Ovis aries: one gene and its partners. The protein of the gene in region 4 purifies or fractionates together with the protein of the main gene of each other region. This does not show direct contact. Links are inferred from orthologs where the notes say so. Each region holds a gene or a part of one and is shown on either strand. Other genes may lie near its edges.

What was found.
Region 1: the proteins of PPP1R7 (region 4) and PPP1CC purify together in Homo sapiens (affinity purification with mass spectrometry; 8 studies listed by BioGRID and IntAct, counting the BioPlex papers as one, with this or other methods). This does not show direct contact. The link is inferred for Ovis aries from reciprocal best matches to the Homo sapiens genes PPP1R7 and PPP1CC.
Region 2: the proteins of PPP1R7 (region 4) and SH2D4A purify together in Homo sapiens (affinity purification with mass spectrometry; 3 studies listed by BioGRID and IntAct, counting the BioPlex papers as one, with this or other methods). This does not show direct contact. The link is inferred for Ovis aries from reciprocal best matches to the Homo sapiens genes PPP1R7 and SH2D4A.
Region 3: the proteins of PPP1R7 (region 4) and UBXN2A purify together in Homo sapiens (affinity purification with mass spectrometry; 3 studies listed by BioGRID and IntAct, counting the BioPlex papers as one, with this or other methods). This does not show direct contact. The link is inferred for Ovis aries from reciprocal best matches to the Homo sapiens genes PPP1R7 and UBXN2A.

What each region holds. Positions count from the first base shown.
Region 1 is NC_056070.1:54,596,982-54,600,562, reverse strand, and holds part of PPP1CC (serine/threonine-protein phosphatase PP1-gamma catalytic subunit), read left to right. Parts: intron 1-479; coding exon 480-584; intron 585-1,534; coding exon 1,535-1,758; intron 1,759-1,966; coding exon 1,967-2,101; intron 2,102-3,051; coding exon 3,052-3,112; intron 3,113-3,581. UniProt on the Homo sapiens protein: Protein phosphatase that associates with over 200 regulatory proteins to form highly specific holoenzymes which dephosphorylate hundreds of biological targets.
Region 2 is NC_056079.1:37,631,322-37,634,902, forward strand, and holds part of SH2D4A (SH2 domain-containing protein 4A), read right to left. Parts: intron 604-3,581; 5' UTR 409-603; coding exon 228-408; intron 1-227. UniProt on the Homo sapiens protein: Inhibits estrogen-induced cell proliferation by competing with PLCG for binding to ESR1, blocking the effect of estrogen on PLCG and repressing estrogen-induced proliferation. May play a role in T-cell development and function.
Region 3 is NC_056056.1:31,676,764-31,680,344, reverse strand, and holds part of UBXN2A (UBX domain-containing protein 2A), read right to left. Parts: intron 3,303-3,581; coding exon 3,164-3,302; intron 1,027-3,163; coding exon 920-1,026; intron 1-919. UniProt on the Homo sapiens protein: Acts to repress the ubiquitination and subsequent endoplasmic reticulum-associated degradation of CHRNA3 by the STUB1-VCP-UBXN2A complex in cortical neurons.
Region 4 is NC_056054.1:607,662-611,242, forward strand, and holds part of PPP1R7 (protein phosphatase 1 regulatory subunit 7), read right to left. Parts: intron 3,186-3,581; coding exon 3,120-3,185; intron 2,557-3,119; coding exon 2,426-2,556; intron 2,067-2,425; coding exon 1,904-2,066; intron 784-1,903; coding exon 667-783; intron 1-666. UniProt on the Homo sapiens protein: Regulatory subunit of protein phosphatase 1.

The DNA of each region.
Region 1 (3,581 bases), on a different chromosome or scaffold from region 4:
GTCGGTCTGAGGTGGCCTTAGCGGGGAAATGTACAGAGGAAAGAAAGCAGCAGCCCGGGACTAAGTTAATAAGATGCTCAGGCAACAGGAGGAAGAATCTTAATTTTTGATGAAGAAGCCGACAGAGTGAGTTGTGAGTTGTTTCTTGGTCGCCTTTGGAAATGGAACCCACCTATGGTTTGAGAGTGGACAGAACAGACTATATTGCAGACAGAGTTGGTGCTATCAAATAATTGTTGAGGCTTAATGATAATCCTTAATCAGTATATCTGGAATTCTGTTTTCAGACTATTTTAAAATAGTGCATATGAAACTAAGTTGTTGCTTATAAATCATACATCTCTTAAATATTATATATATCTAATTCTCTCTTTTTTAATAAAAGCATAGTTTTTGAATATTGCCTTGGAGGACTTATCTTGAGGGTATGTATCTGCAGAACACCAGTCTCTCTTTTAACCATCCCAAAATTTCCACAGGTAAAAGAAGATATAACATTAAACTATGGAAAACTTTCACAGACTGCTTTAACTGTTTACCGATAGCAGCCATCGTGGATGAGAAAATATTCTGCTGTCATGGAGGTATGTGGGCTGATTTTAATTCCATGTAGATTTGGATTCTTCTAAAGGGTATACACTTTGACATTGATGAATTAACATTCGGATGACTTCCTCTGTGAGGTGACTCTCCTGTACTGCTGTGTTAAACCAGGAGTCCACTCTGGCACATCCAGGATCATCCGGATACAAGTCCAAAGTATGCAGTTGATTTGTTACAAAGACTTCTAGGCTCTGTAACAGTTAGTCTTGAAACTAGAGTAGAAAGTATTTTCGAATATAAAATAAACAATGTGCTATACCATAGACTCTGTAGGATACTGAAAATGTGAATATACTTTCCCTTGGACTGTTTTTGGTCTTTTCCTTTCAGAAATTTCTCTGACTTAGATGTTAAAAGTTATTTTGCTTGGTGATTGTACTTTATATGATGTAATTAAAATAGTAATGGCAAAGAGGATATCTTTTCATCTATGTCAGAAGTTAGACAACCATCAAAAAGCCAACTCGACTATATTTTAATAAAACCACTATCCTTGCCCTCCTTAGGTACTTATATACTGGTTTTGGTAGAGTTGGACATGTGATTTTTAAAGTCAGATTGAGAGCCAGTTATATCTGAGCTGGTTTGACTTTACAGTCCTTGGCCAGTGCACGTTTCCTAGAAAGCTTCATCACCTGAGTGTCTGCATCTTCTACGCCCGGTCACTACAGTGGTCATTAGGGTGCTCTGAATGTTGAAGTAACTTTCCTTGTCCTGTTTGGGCCCACACTGCCCCACAAATTAGTGCATGTAACAAGTTCCAGTGTCCCCCACCCCCCGTCCCTTTTTAACAAAAGCTAATAGGTAAGAAAAGATAACCAAAGAGTTCATGATTGAGTCTCTCTGAAGAGAAAGGGAAATATTAAAGTGCTGACTTCCCTTTTAAAATTGTGTTTTCTTCCATTTTGGTTTTTTCCCCCTCATTTAATAGGTTTATCACCAGATCTTCAATCTATGGAGCAGATTCGGCGAATTATGCGACCAACCGATGTACCAGATCAAGGTCTTCTTTGTGATCTTTTGTGGTCTGACCCCGATAAAGATGTCTTAGGCTGGGGTGAAAATGACAGAGGAGTGTCCTTCACATTTGGTGCAGAAGTGGTTGCAAAATTTCTCCATAAGCATGATTTGGATCTTATATGTAGAGCCCATCAGGTATTGATTTTGAATTTTACATGTACACTTAAGAGCATGTGTGTGAGCACAGATTCTCCTTGTTGATTTTGGTGGGTAGGTATTGCTTATTTATACAAAATGTCTCTGGAAATGACCTACAGGATATCAGGCTCAATGGGAAACTGAAGAGTGATTTTACTCACCTAAAGTTTGCACCCGTTCACATTGAAAACATTTTCTCTCCAAGGTGGTTGAAGATGGATATGAATTTTTTGCAAAGAGGCAGTTGGTCACTCTGTTTTCTGCGCCCAATTATTGTGGAGAGTTTGACAATGCAGGTGCCATGATGAGTGTGGACGAAACACTAATGTGTTCTTTTCAGGTAGAGGATGTTTTCAGCATTGTTTCCTTTTATTATGTCTGCATTTTATTGATTTTTTAAAAGTGCTAATTTCTGCCTATATTCATTTATGTGGAATAGACTGAAAAATTATTATTTTCCCTTAATTGGTGTTTGTCCTAGTTCAGTAATGAGTGAATTCCTTTTAAAAGAATGAAATGATCATAGAACTTTTGCCCCAAGTATTGAATTTAACTTTTTTCATATTATTTGAATACATTAAAATCATGAGACATTAAGTCTAAAGCTACAGTGTTAGTACCGTGTTCCGCTGAAATTAAACCACATGAAAGTAGCCCTCGCTGCCGTGCGCCAGGTGTGCCACGTGATGACTCAGTTCTCCCTCCATGTCTCTGTTTCTAAAAAACCTCTAGTGATTGACCGTGACATCATTTGGCCGTCACTTGGCACAAAAGAATCATTTACACATAAAGTCTGCAGTTTTTTTCTCATTCAATTACTATGATTAAACTTATACGACTTCAGGCTTACCCAATCATAAACAAAAACACAGCCACTGAAGTCAAGTCATCAGTTAACTGAATTAAAACAAGTGTTTTTGACTTTTTTTATTTTTAAATTATCAGGTCTTGCAACCCCCAGAGATTATGACATGATCCCCTAGGGGTTTGAGAAACACTATTCTAAAGAACTATATCCCCTGGGTCAGAAGGGATACCTAAAGATGTGACTTCAAAAAACTGTCATTTTATCCAGAGGCGAAACAGTTTGTCCAGATCATATATCATAGCGGTTTATAAGAGTATTTATTACCAAAATGTTTGTCAGCTTGGTTTGTGTTAATACGCCAGTGGAGCTTTCAGAGTTGTTGGGTCAATTTTAAACAAACTTTCTGAACAAAAGATTTGAGTGAAATGTAAGACTTGAGGTTAAGTGTATTTCCTAAAATACACTGTCTTGAATCTTTGCAGATTTTAAAGCCTGCGGAGAAAAAGAAGCCGAATGCCACAAGACCCGTCACACCTCCAAGGGGTATGATCACAAAGCAAGCAAAGAAATAGATGTCATTTTGATACTGCCTAGTTGGGACTTGTAACATATAGTACATAACCTTCATTTTTAAAACTGTAATGTGTATTGGTCAGCTTGCTCAAATAGTGTTTGTGGGGCTCCCCTTTCCATTTTTGACTTAATGAATGGTATTTGCTGGTTATAACAGCAAATGAAAGATTCTCCACTCCCAAGGAAAAATGTTTTGTTTAGTTCCCTGTTCCTTTTACAGACAACATTAATGGTGTTAAAGCTGTACACTCAGGACAGTGTCCCCTGTCTAAGGGGTGAGTGTACAACTGATCTTTTTTTAATTCAGTACAGCCCATAAATAATGTAAATGCTCATTTTCTTTAGGATATAAAGAGAGCCCTAGGGTGCTCAATCTGTACATGTTATTGTCATAAAATGCATACTGTTGGATACAAACCACTGTGAACTTTTTTGTTTC
Region 2 (3,581 bases), on a different chromosome or scaffold from region 4:
CCAGAGTATTGCTGCTTGTGTGTGTGTGTGTGTGTGTGTGTGTGTGCGCGCGCACGCACGCGCGTGCTTCAGGCTAATCAACTGCACCATGAAAAGCTCAGTAACACTGAGGGTCTGCCTGCCAAACCAGACCTCAGACGCGGCTAGCTGCTGACCAGTGTGAGCCATGCAAACAAGCAGGGAGGCCGCCCGCCGCGGAGGCTCCGGGAGGAGTGAGCTCCGCTTACCTGTCTTCGGCCTGGGTTTCACTGGCAGGGACTCCTGTTTTTCCATCGCTGCTTCTCTTTCTTTCCAGCGGCGGACCTGCTCCTCCCTCATCTTGAAGAACAGGATCTGTTTCTGTTCCTCGTTTAGCTCTGCCAGCAGATCAGGATCTATGTACATCTCCGACAGGATCTGTTTCAGCATCTTTGCGGGGCTGGAGTCTTTTGCACCTGAGGCAAAAGTTCTTGAGAACGGCTTCCAGGGCTGCCTCCCCTGGGCTGGCACGGGGGGGCACCCACAGACCTTCCCAGACGCTCGTGGGGCTGGGACGGCGGCAGTTCAGCGAACTGGCTCTGGGTTCCCACACCGGGCCCCCTGTCCAAAACGCCACTCATGAACCTGCAAAGAGCAACCGCCAAGATGCAACTGTGTTAGAAGGTACAAAGGCCAGGACGGGCTTAGGAGCAAGCTTGGCAGAAACACAGATCCGCCTTTATTTCAGGCAAGCTTTGTTAAGAGTTTTGTGTAACCTGTATCCTGTAATTTCCAAAGATACTTTAACAAAAAAACAAAAAAATAAACCCTAACTTTTTACCGGTCACTCTCAGGGAAACAAAAAATTAACAGAGGCTTGGCTGTCTCCCAACTAAGCAAACATGCGATTACTTCCGAGCTCAACAAACCACCACGTCCACAGCTAAAAACAGTTAAAGAGACAAAGGCAAGGATGAAATTAAAAGCCTCTCTCCAAACAACGTACTTCAAAAGCAAACACTGTTTTTGAGATTTCAGAGAATTACCCACCCAAACCCAAGCCAGGCTTAAGGAAGAAATAAAGAAGAAATAAAAATTAGACCATAATGCAATTTTCCCATTTTCCCTTACAAGTGGCTGTTAATACAAACAATTATGCGCTGTCATCTTCACAGATGGACAGTTCGGTGTTCAGACAACTCACCAGAACCACAGAAACCGTGCAGAGCAGGACAGGGCACTCACATGCATTTTGGAAGGGCACCAGGGTTTAGGCGTGCCTCTTCCAGATACCCTAATTTCACAGGGTCTAAATTTACAGACCAGATAAACTGGGGAGCCATGAAATTAAGAGACACTTGCTCCTTAGAAGAAAAGCTATGCCCAAGCTAGACAGCATATTAAAGAGCAGAGACATTACTTTGCCAACAAAGGTCCGTCTAGTCAAGGCTATGGTTTTTCCAGTGGTCATGTATGGATTTGAGAGTTGGGCTGTGAAAAAAGCTGAGCACCAAAGAATTGACGCTTTTGAACTGCGGTGTCGGAGAAGACTCTTGAGAGTCCCTTGGACTGCAAGGAGATCCAACAAGTCCATCCTAAAGGAGATCAGTCCTGGGTGTTCACTGGAAGAACTGATGCTGAAGCTGAAACTCCAATACTTTGGCCATCTGATATGAATAACTGACTTCTTGAAAAAGACCCTGATGCTGGGAAAGATTGAAGGCAGGAGGAGAAGGGGATGACAGAGGATGAGATGGTTGGATGGCATCACCGACTGGACAGACATGAGTTTGGGTAAACTCTGGGAGCTGGTGATGGACAGGGAGGCCTGGCGTGCTGCGGTCCATGGGGTCGCAAAGGTCAAACACGACTGAGCAACTGAACTGAACTGAACTGAAGGGGTGACCAGGCTCATCACAAAGGGTCCTCGCTCTGTAAGACAGTTTCTCAGATGGAGGAGCCTTGGGCCTGAGCACACAGGTGACTTCACAGGGGCACCTACTCCTCAGCAGACGTGTTCTACTTCACACGTTTCCATTTGGTCTATTTTCAAAAAATATAGCAAACCTTCACATTTTTGTCATTAGGAGAAAATGATGTACACATTTCCATTCTGGGGGGAAAAACAGAATGCTTATTTTGTTCCAATATAATAAGAAATCCACAAAAAGCTTATTTATTTCAACTCTGCAGGATCACCTATGTTCTAAGAAACAGACTAACAATCCTACCATCTGGCCACGCCCTCTCAAATATCTTCTTTCTCCAAACTAACTTCAAAGGCTCTTAAGCTTCAGACCAGTCGCTCAGCCACACGGCGGCCCTCCCAGGCCCATGGCCAGTCACCCCCGGCCCTTCTCCTGGTCACCTCCAGGCAGGCTGCCACACTCCTCTCACGCCCGGGAGGCTCCTGCAGCTTCGTTCCTGCTCCACCTCCTTGCGCAGCTGTTTCTCCATTTACACCAGCTTTTTCAGAGAAGCACAAGCAACAGCCCAACAGCCAGGGTACCCAGGGTGCCCTGAGTACCAACAACATGTAGTTCCGTTCACTAACATGCCCTGTGTAGCAGGGACCTTTACTGAGGCTACCACGACCCTCGCCATCTGCGTCCTGCCATCTGTAGCATTCAGTTACCCGGGGCTCAAATGGAACACAGTGTTTAGAGAAATTTTTAAAAGAATTAAAGGCACCGTCCGACTCTAACTCAGTCAGGCACGCCTGCCCCAGGCTGCCTGGCTAGCTTTGTATTTTGCTTTGAGGCGACCCTCAAAGGCTCTAACAGCCACACCACTGATGTCCTGCGATGCGGTCCTGACTCTGCGGTCTCCAGGAGAGGGGCACAACTAAATCTACACTTGACGGGGGTTTCCAGAGGCTGAGCTCTTGTCTGTAGGCGTCAGAACAGCAGGAAGAAGGTAAGTCCTCCACTCACTGGACTCCAGTGCTGGAGACCAAGTGCTAAGAAGCCAAAGTGAATGAGTCCTTGACATTCCGAAGGAACACACCTCAACATAATAAAAGCTATAGATGACATTCCGGTAAAGGTCCTTACGCCGGGACACTTCTTGACCAGGGGTTGACTTTCACAGAAATAAAACACAGGGGAGAGGAGCTGCCCAGGGAAGTTGGAAGCTTCCGCTCTATCCCCCAGTCTGGAATTGGGCGACTCCCAGCAACAGGGACAGGGCAGGCAGCACCTAAACAGGAAAACCCTGAAAGGGCTGAATCCGCTCTCCCCTCCCCACCTGGCGCACTCCTGGTCTCAGACGCTGACCCCAGCCGCAGCCACGACCGACCATGAGCGGTGAAGGCAGTAACTAACGAATCTTCATCCCAACCTTGGAGTTCAGCCCCTTACCATCCCCATTTCCTACAAGACGATGGAGGGGGTGTGCCCGGCCGTCTGGCTCCAAGTCAGGGGCACGGAGTTTTCCGGGAGCCCAGAATCAGGCTTCCCTGGTAGCTCAACTGGTAAAGACCCCTCCTGCAATGCACGAGACCCTGGTTCGATTCTTGTGTCGGGAAGATCCCCTGAAAAAGGGACAGGCTACCCACTCCAGTATTCTTGGGCTTCCTTTTTGGCTCAGCTGGTAAAGACTTCACCTGCAACGCGGGATACCTG
Region 3 (3,581 bases), on a different chromosome or scaffold from region 4:
CAAATCCATAGAAGTAGAAAGAAGACTGCAGTTGTGCAGGGTTGTGAGGAGGGGGAAATGGAGAGTGGAGAGTGATATTAGCATGGGGGTTCTTTTTAGGGTGATGAAAAAGGAAATATTTTGGAATTAATAGTGCTGAAGTTGCATAACTGTGAATATACTAAAAAATTATGAATTGTATACTTTAAAGGAGTAAATTTTATGGTAGGCTAATTTTATTTTAATAAAGCTTTAATTAAAAATAAAGCTGTTATTTTTCTTAAAAATTTAAACACAAGGATAGTCACATATTTTTTATAGTGGGCAACTTAAGAAATAATCAAATCACCAACAACTAGGTGTATATATATATATATATATATATATATATATATAAACATTATGGCTCATCATTGTAACAAAATAATATACAGATATATTCAAGTATTTCAAGATAAAGTCAAAACACTTTTTAAAATATATGCACAATTATGTATAAATCTATGAACAGAAAGTGCCAAAATGAAATTCAACAGAAATGTTAATAGCAGTAATACTTCTGGGTAATGAAATTATGGGTGATTTTCAAGTTTTTATAAATATATAATATAAAACACTACAGGGCAATGGAAATCACAATTTAACAACTATAAAGATCTTTAAACGTAATTATTAAATAACAAGTAGGATGTGATGTGGTATTAAGTAACACTTGGCAAAGTGAATTAATTTAAGTCAGATTTTGGTTGATCAGAATTCACATTCCTGACCCTTCAAGATTACAGCTGTGGTTCTCTTAAGAAAACCCATCTTATGAAAAGTGTGAATTTAAAAGAGAAAAAGTATTTTTCAATGTGTAAGGATGTGTGAACAACATTAAAAAGGAATCTTCCAAATGAAACATATCTAAAATATCCTTCTGCTAACAAAGATTGCTTACCCTTTTTTGATGGAGTTCAGAAACTGTTGACTTGCACCATCAGAATAACTTCTGAAATCATCATTGACAGTGAATCCATTTTTCCATAATTTTATACTTACATCTACCTGCAAAGCAGTAAGAAACAAAATGTATAATGTTAATCAATAAAATGTACTAGTAGATTAAAAATCCTTTGAAAATTTCTTCTATCAGTGTATATTTTATGTATCAATCTTTTCTTTAAAATTGAGATATAACTGACATACATCATTGTATTAGTCATAACATAATGATTTGATGTATGTATATACTGCAAAATGATTACAGAATGAGTATAATTAACATCCATTACACAGTTAAAAATTTTAAATATACCATTCATAAGAGCTAGCTTCAAATATAAAATATCAAAATTATAATGTTCATGTATAATCTAGTCCATAATGAATAATGTTTTAAAGTAAGTCATTAATCATTTTCTTTAGGAGAACTCATTTGGAAGAATATCCTGTGCTCTATCTCAGAGGACACTAATGCTGTCTGGTCAGAAGAGACTTCTCAACAGTTAGAGAAATCTGAAATGACCTGAACATTAGACTTTGAACATTAAAAATAAAAATGGGGGAAAAACAACTAAGAGTAATTAACAGCTATTCCTTCAAATGTAATCTATCAGTTTGGACTTCCTGGGTGGCTCAGTGATAAAGAATCTGACAGCCAATGCAAGAGAGATGGATTGGCTCCCTGATTCGGGGAGATCCCACATGCTGCGGAATAACTAAGGCTGTGCACCACAACCACTGAGCCGTGCTCTAGGACTGGGGAGCCCCAACTACTGAAGCCTGCTTGCCCTAGAGTGAGTGCTTCACAAGAGAAGCCACTGCAATGAGAAGCCTGTGCGCTGCACCTGGAGAGTACCCTTTGCTCACCACAACCAGAGAAAGGTCTGCACGGCACTGAAGACCCAGCACAGGCAAAAATAAATAAATCAATAAAAGTATTAAAAAAAAACACACAATAATTTGCTTAAAAAAAGAACTGTCAGTGTTACTGTTAGCAATATTTCATCTCTCAACATCTTCTGGATCATCTCACTTCCCTGAAGTGTCAGACTCATTTTATACATTTTGAGAAAGTGTCTGCAGATAGCCAAGACTGAAAAATCAGTTGTCTGTAAAGCATCCTTTCATGTATAAACAGTACACCATGAAAAAGCAAACTGTTCAGCTTGCATCTCAAGCAACTGTACTTTTCCTTAAGATACTTCTGTATATTGCAGAAGAGTTTCACATATGTGTCTGTGTGTGTGTGTTAGTCTCTCAGTCGTGTCCAACTCTTTGCAACCCATGGACTGTAGCCTGCCAGTCTCCTTTGTCCATGGAATTCTCCAGGCAAGAATACTAGAGCGGGCTGCCATTTCCTTCTCCAGGGAGTGAACCTGGGTCTCCTGCACGGCAGACAGATTTTTTACTGTCTGAGCCACCAGGGAAGCCTCATTTTATGTATATACTTCATATTTTATTATACAGAAAGTTAGTAAGATAGGTATTGAAGTGTTGGGATTTAATGGAATCTGTAAGTTTCACTGTTCTATCAAGGACATTCTTAATTGAAACAAGTGTTTTTCACCCCCTCAAGTGCAAAGAAGAGTACAGTAATTACTGGTACGGTGTGGTGCTGTGTGGTGCCATTGCCTCAGTTCCTCCTGAGGTGCCAGTTTTGTTGACCAATGCTTTTGCGATATCAGTGCAAACTCAATACAGTGAAAAAAGTAAATAGTATCTTTCTATTAGTAAGAAAGCTGAGCACAGAAGAATTGATACTTTTGAACTGTGGTGTTGGAGAAGACTCTTGAGAGTCCCTTGGACTGCAAGGAGGTCCAACCAGTCCATCCTAAAGGAGCTCAGTCCTCGGTGTTCATTGGAAGGACTGATGCTAACACTGAAACTCCAATACTTTGGCCACCTCATGCAAAGGGTTGACTCAGTGGAAAAGACTCTGATGTTGGGAGGGATTGGGGGCAGGAGGAGAAGGGGACGACAGAGGATGAGATGGCTGGATGGCATCACCGACTCGATGGAAGTGAGTGTAAGTGAACTCCAGGAGTTGCTGATGGACAGGGAGGCCTGGTGTGCTGCGATTCATGGGGTCGCAAAGAGCCGGACATGACTGAACTGAACTGATTAGTACGATAACAGTTTTGACCTCTAAAAGTCCATATTTTGAGAAACATCAGGAAAGAAAAGATTTATGGACACTTACCTGTTTCTTTTGTTCAGTGGGAGACAAACATTTGGCACCAACCTTCTGAGCTTCCTCAAAAAGGCTGTCAACAAAATATTCACAATTTGTTTGTTGACTATCACTAAGAGGTTGGTGGTCAGATCCTGTTTCACAAACCCTACACACAGACAGACACAAAAAGAAGAAGCATTACTGACCACTAATTCTCTAAAAGTTTACATAAATTGCTCTAGTTAAGGGATCTAACACTGAGACACTACCTCCATGTCTGCAGTCAGAGATCCTATTTTAAATTAAGATAGTAGATATGTGCCCTCGGGAAAAAGCCATTAACCCTTTTGGTCCAGAGCACAGCTCTCTCAACTTCAGTCCATTGACACTTGGGGAAAGATAATTCCTTGCTGAGCTGGCTGGCCCATACATTGTAAGAGGTTCA
Region 4 (3,581 bases):
ATGGCCAAAGGCTTTGATGCACGAAACTCACTTTTCAAAATCTACTTGAAACAGGTCTACCTCAAATAATTTAATTAACTCAAAAATGTCAAAATCAGAATATTTAAAATCACTTAGTTCTCATTTCCTTTGGCATCCATCGTACTCGAGTTAGAGCACAGCGCTCGCTTCTCACACAGATCTGCACGATATCTGCTTTCCGAGAGGCATGGGTGGTCTTGGGGTTCCTGTCCCCACGGCCTGCCACCAAAGCCCCCGGGCCCACCACCGTGCGCCTGCTCCTGATGAAAGAAGCCGGGCCGCAGCCACGCGGGCACTGCCCACCCCACGTGGGTGCTGCCCAACCATGCCCAGGTGGCACACTCCTGGGCACGGACGGGACAGGACGGCTGGGGGGGTCACTCCCACCAGGAGCCCAGCACGGCGTGAGCTGTGGAGAGACGAGCTGCCCTGGCTAAACACCGCCTGGATGTTCATTAGAGGACATGTGGCGTGTTACGGAAGGAAACCTCAGGCCCGCGTGGGTCACGTGTGCTGCAGATCTGTGCAGTGTGATGTCTCCACTCCTCACTGACAGTGAAGCCAAGCGCTGCCCAGCATGGAGGCAGTGGAGGAGCAAAGCCCTGCCCTGGGGGCCCACGGGGCAGGAGGCTGGGCGGTCCGCACCTGCATGCTGAGGACGGTCAGGTTGGTGAGTGCATCCAGATTCTGAAGCTTAGTGATCTTGTTCTTCCCCAGAAACAAGCTCTCCAGGCTGGTTAACGCGTCGACATTCTCAATCACCTGCGAAGATCAGGGCAAGGCAGCAGTCACGGGAGGGGAGGGCCCGACCCCTTGGGCGAGCAGACAGAGCTGCCTGCGTGTCGGGCAAGTGCTGCCCGCTCTGGGATCCCCCAGGCAACCTCACTTCAGAGCGCAACCTGAGAACAGACGCTGGTGGTGTCCTGCGGGTGGCAGCTGCGGGAGCCCCGGGCCTGGGACGCCTGCAGGCTCCTCCCCGCTCTGCCCCGTGCTCCCCAGGGCCCCATGGGCAGCTGCGCTAGTGAGCGCCCCTGGCAGGCCTCAGGTCCCCGCCTCCCGGGTACACCACTCTCCCACAACAGGCTAGCTGAGCTTTTCCGGCAGGGGCTGCAGCGGGGCCTCCAAGGGCAGAGTGAGCCTCTTCTTCAGTCCTCACAGCAGGATGGGCCGGGGCTGGGCCGGGGCTGGCCCGGGAGGACGAGGACTCAGAGGCAGGGCAGCCCCGCCTGCCGTCACCTGCGTCGGCTGTGACGCGGCCCCTCTCCCCCACAGGGATGCTGCGGAACACGCTGATGCCTGGACCACCCCGAGTTTCACACGTGCTGCTTTGCTACTTTCGACCACACCACCACCACCACCACCACCACCACCGGTCACAAGAAGCCCTTTGCCGCAAACACCCTCCTTGGTTTGCGTCCTGTCTAGCTCACAAGGGCCAACCTGAGCTGACCAGTGTGCTAGAAGCTTCCAAAAGTTGGAGGGGCATTTCTGGCATGCAGGTGGAGGAAGGGCTCAGAAACCCTGCCTACAGCCACTCAGCAGGGGCGGATGGGCCCACTAGGCACCAGGCTGTGCCCACCCTCCTATGGCCGGAGTGGGGGCCCATCCCCCTGCTGTGCATGGGCCCCTTCTGCGCCAAGAGGCGCGCCTAAAACCACACCCAGCGGCATGTCCAAAAGCCAAGCGCCGGGGCCGCTGTCGGGCAGAGTGCAACGCCTCTGCTAAGAGTTACATCGTGACTCGGATGAGGAGCAAGAGAACGCCGCGTGTGGAAGAAAGGGCCACGCTCCCACGAACACCGACCCCCAGTGAGCACTCGGTCTCGCGAGACACAGCTGCACGCCCTGCACACCTCCAGGCCGCGCCCCGCGCCCACACCCACCCGTATCCGGTTGGACCCCAGCTCCAGCATCTGCAGTTGGTGCAAGCTGCTTATGTTCTCAATTTTGCTGATCTTGTTGTTGACCAAGAAGAGCTTCTTCAGTCGTGTCAACTTATCAACGCCTTCAATGTTTCTCAGTAGATTAAAAGAAATATCTAAAACCCTGGGAACAAGCAAAGCATTCATTAACGAGCACAGGTCACGCCGAGCTCAGGACGTAGCTGACTTAGAGGCAGCAGCCCGCCCGGGGAATGTGGCGGGGCGGGCAGCCCATAGGGCCCCGAAAGCCTGCTGCCCCGGCTCCCAGCACGAGGCTGAGGACAGAAACCGTCTTCTCCCTAAGGAGCTCAGCCTGACATCTCCAGTCAAAGGCTTCACGTGCAGGCTGGGACTGTGGGCAAGCGGGTGCCCCCGCGGAGCCAGGCACAGGCCTGACCGTGGGCGGGGGCTCCCCGGCCCGAGTTCGGGCTGCAGGGCTGGTTTCGGGGCGGCTGCCAGGCCCCTTGCAGCCTCACAACTCACTCCAGCTCTGTCAGCGCGTCCAGGTTCTCAATCCTCCGGATCTGGTTGTCGTAAAGGTCCAGCTCTCGGAGGCTCTGCAGCCCCTCTAGGTTCTCAATGCACTTGATCAAATTCTGCCGGAGGCAGAGCGTCTGGGGGACAGAAAAAGGGCAGCTGACAGAGGGGACGGGGAGGCCCGTAGGAAGTGCCCACTGTCCCAGACTCGGCCTCCACACCTGGGGCCTGGGTGGGGAAGTGGTTTTGCTCCTGTTTTCTAGTACGGTGCTGACCTGGAGAGGACGGGCAGATACCCGCGGGGATGCAGGGAGGCCCTGATGAGCGTTCTTGCTGTGTGAGGGGGGTGCTGGGCAAGGGGAGGGGTGCTGTTTTCCAGCAGAGGGAACTCACTGAACTGCAGTGAGCTAAGCACATCGAGTCTGGGCTGCATGTGGCTGCAGGCAGGCCCCGACGGAGGCACCACCGATCTGAGCCACCACGCGAACCTGGGGAGAGCCAGCTAGCCGAGCGTCCGGCCTGTTACCCTGCAGGGCTCAGGATCAAAGGCGCCCGAGGGACGCTCCCGTTGCAGCGTGGCACCTTCCCGAGCACGGTCACCGCGCAGAACTGATCTGCTCCGGTTCACCCACATCCAGTGGGGGGATGCACTCTGCAGGGCCACGCGGGCCCCTGCCATGCAGGGACGAGTTCCTCTCACCTTCACTTTCTTCAGCACCTCGAATCCTTCAATTTTTCCAATGCGATAATGATTCAGATCTACATCCTGAAACAGACAAAACCTAGCTCAGCTGCAGATAGGCACCTGGAGACGCGCTTCCCGGGCTTGGAGCCATGAGGAGGCCGGGAGGCGGCGGGGCTCGGGGAGCAGTGCCGCCCGGAGTCATGGGGCCAGCTGACGCGGGCACAGCTGTGCCGTGACAGGCAGCGGCCTGACGTGAGACTGACCCTATGAACCAGTGGTGCGAGAAGCCTGCTCTCGCCTGCGCGCGCCCCTCGTCACCCCTGGGGGCTGCCCCACCCTCGCCTGCGGCTCCTCCTCGCACCAGGACGGATGTGCAGTGGTCACGGCTGCCTCTGCCACACAATTCTCGGTGTGTACAGCGCCACGCGAGACCAAGCCCTGGTGTTAAAAACAGTAAGAACACAAGGACTCTGACCA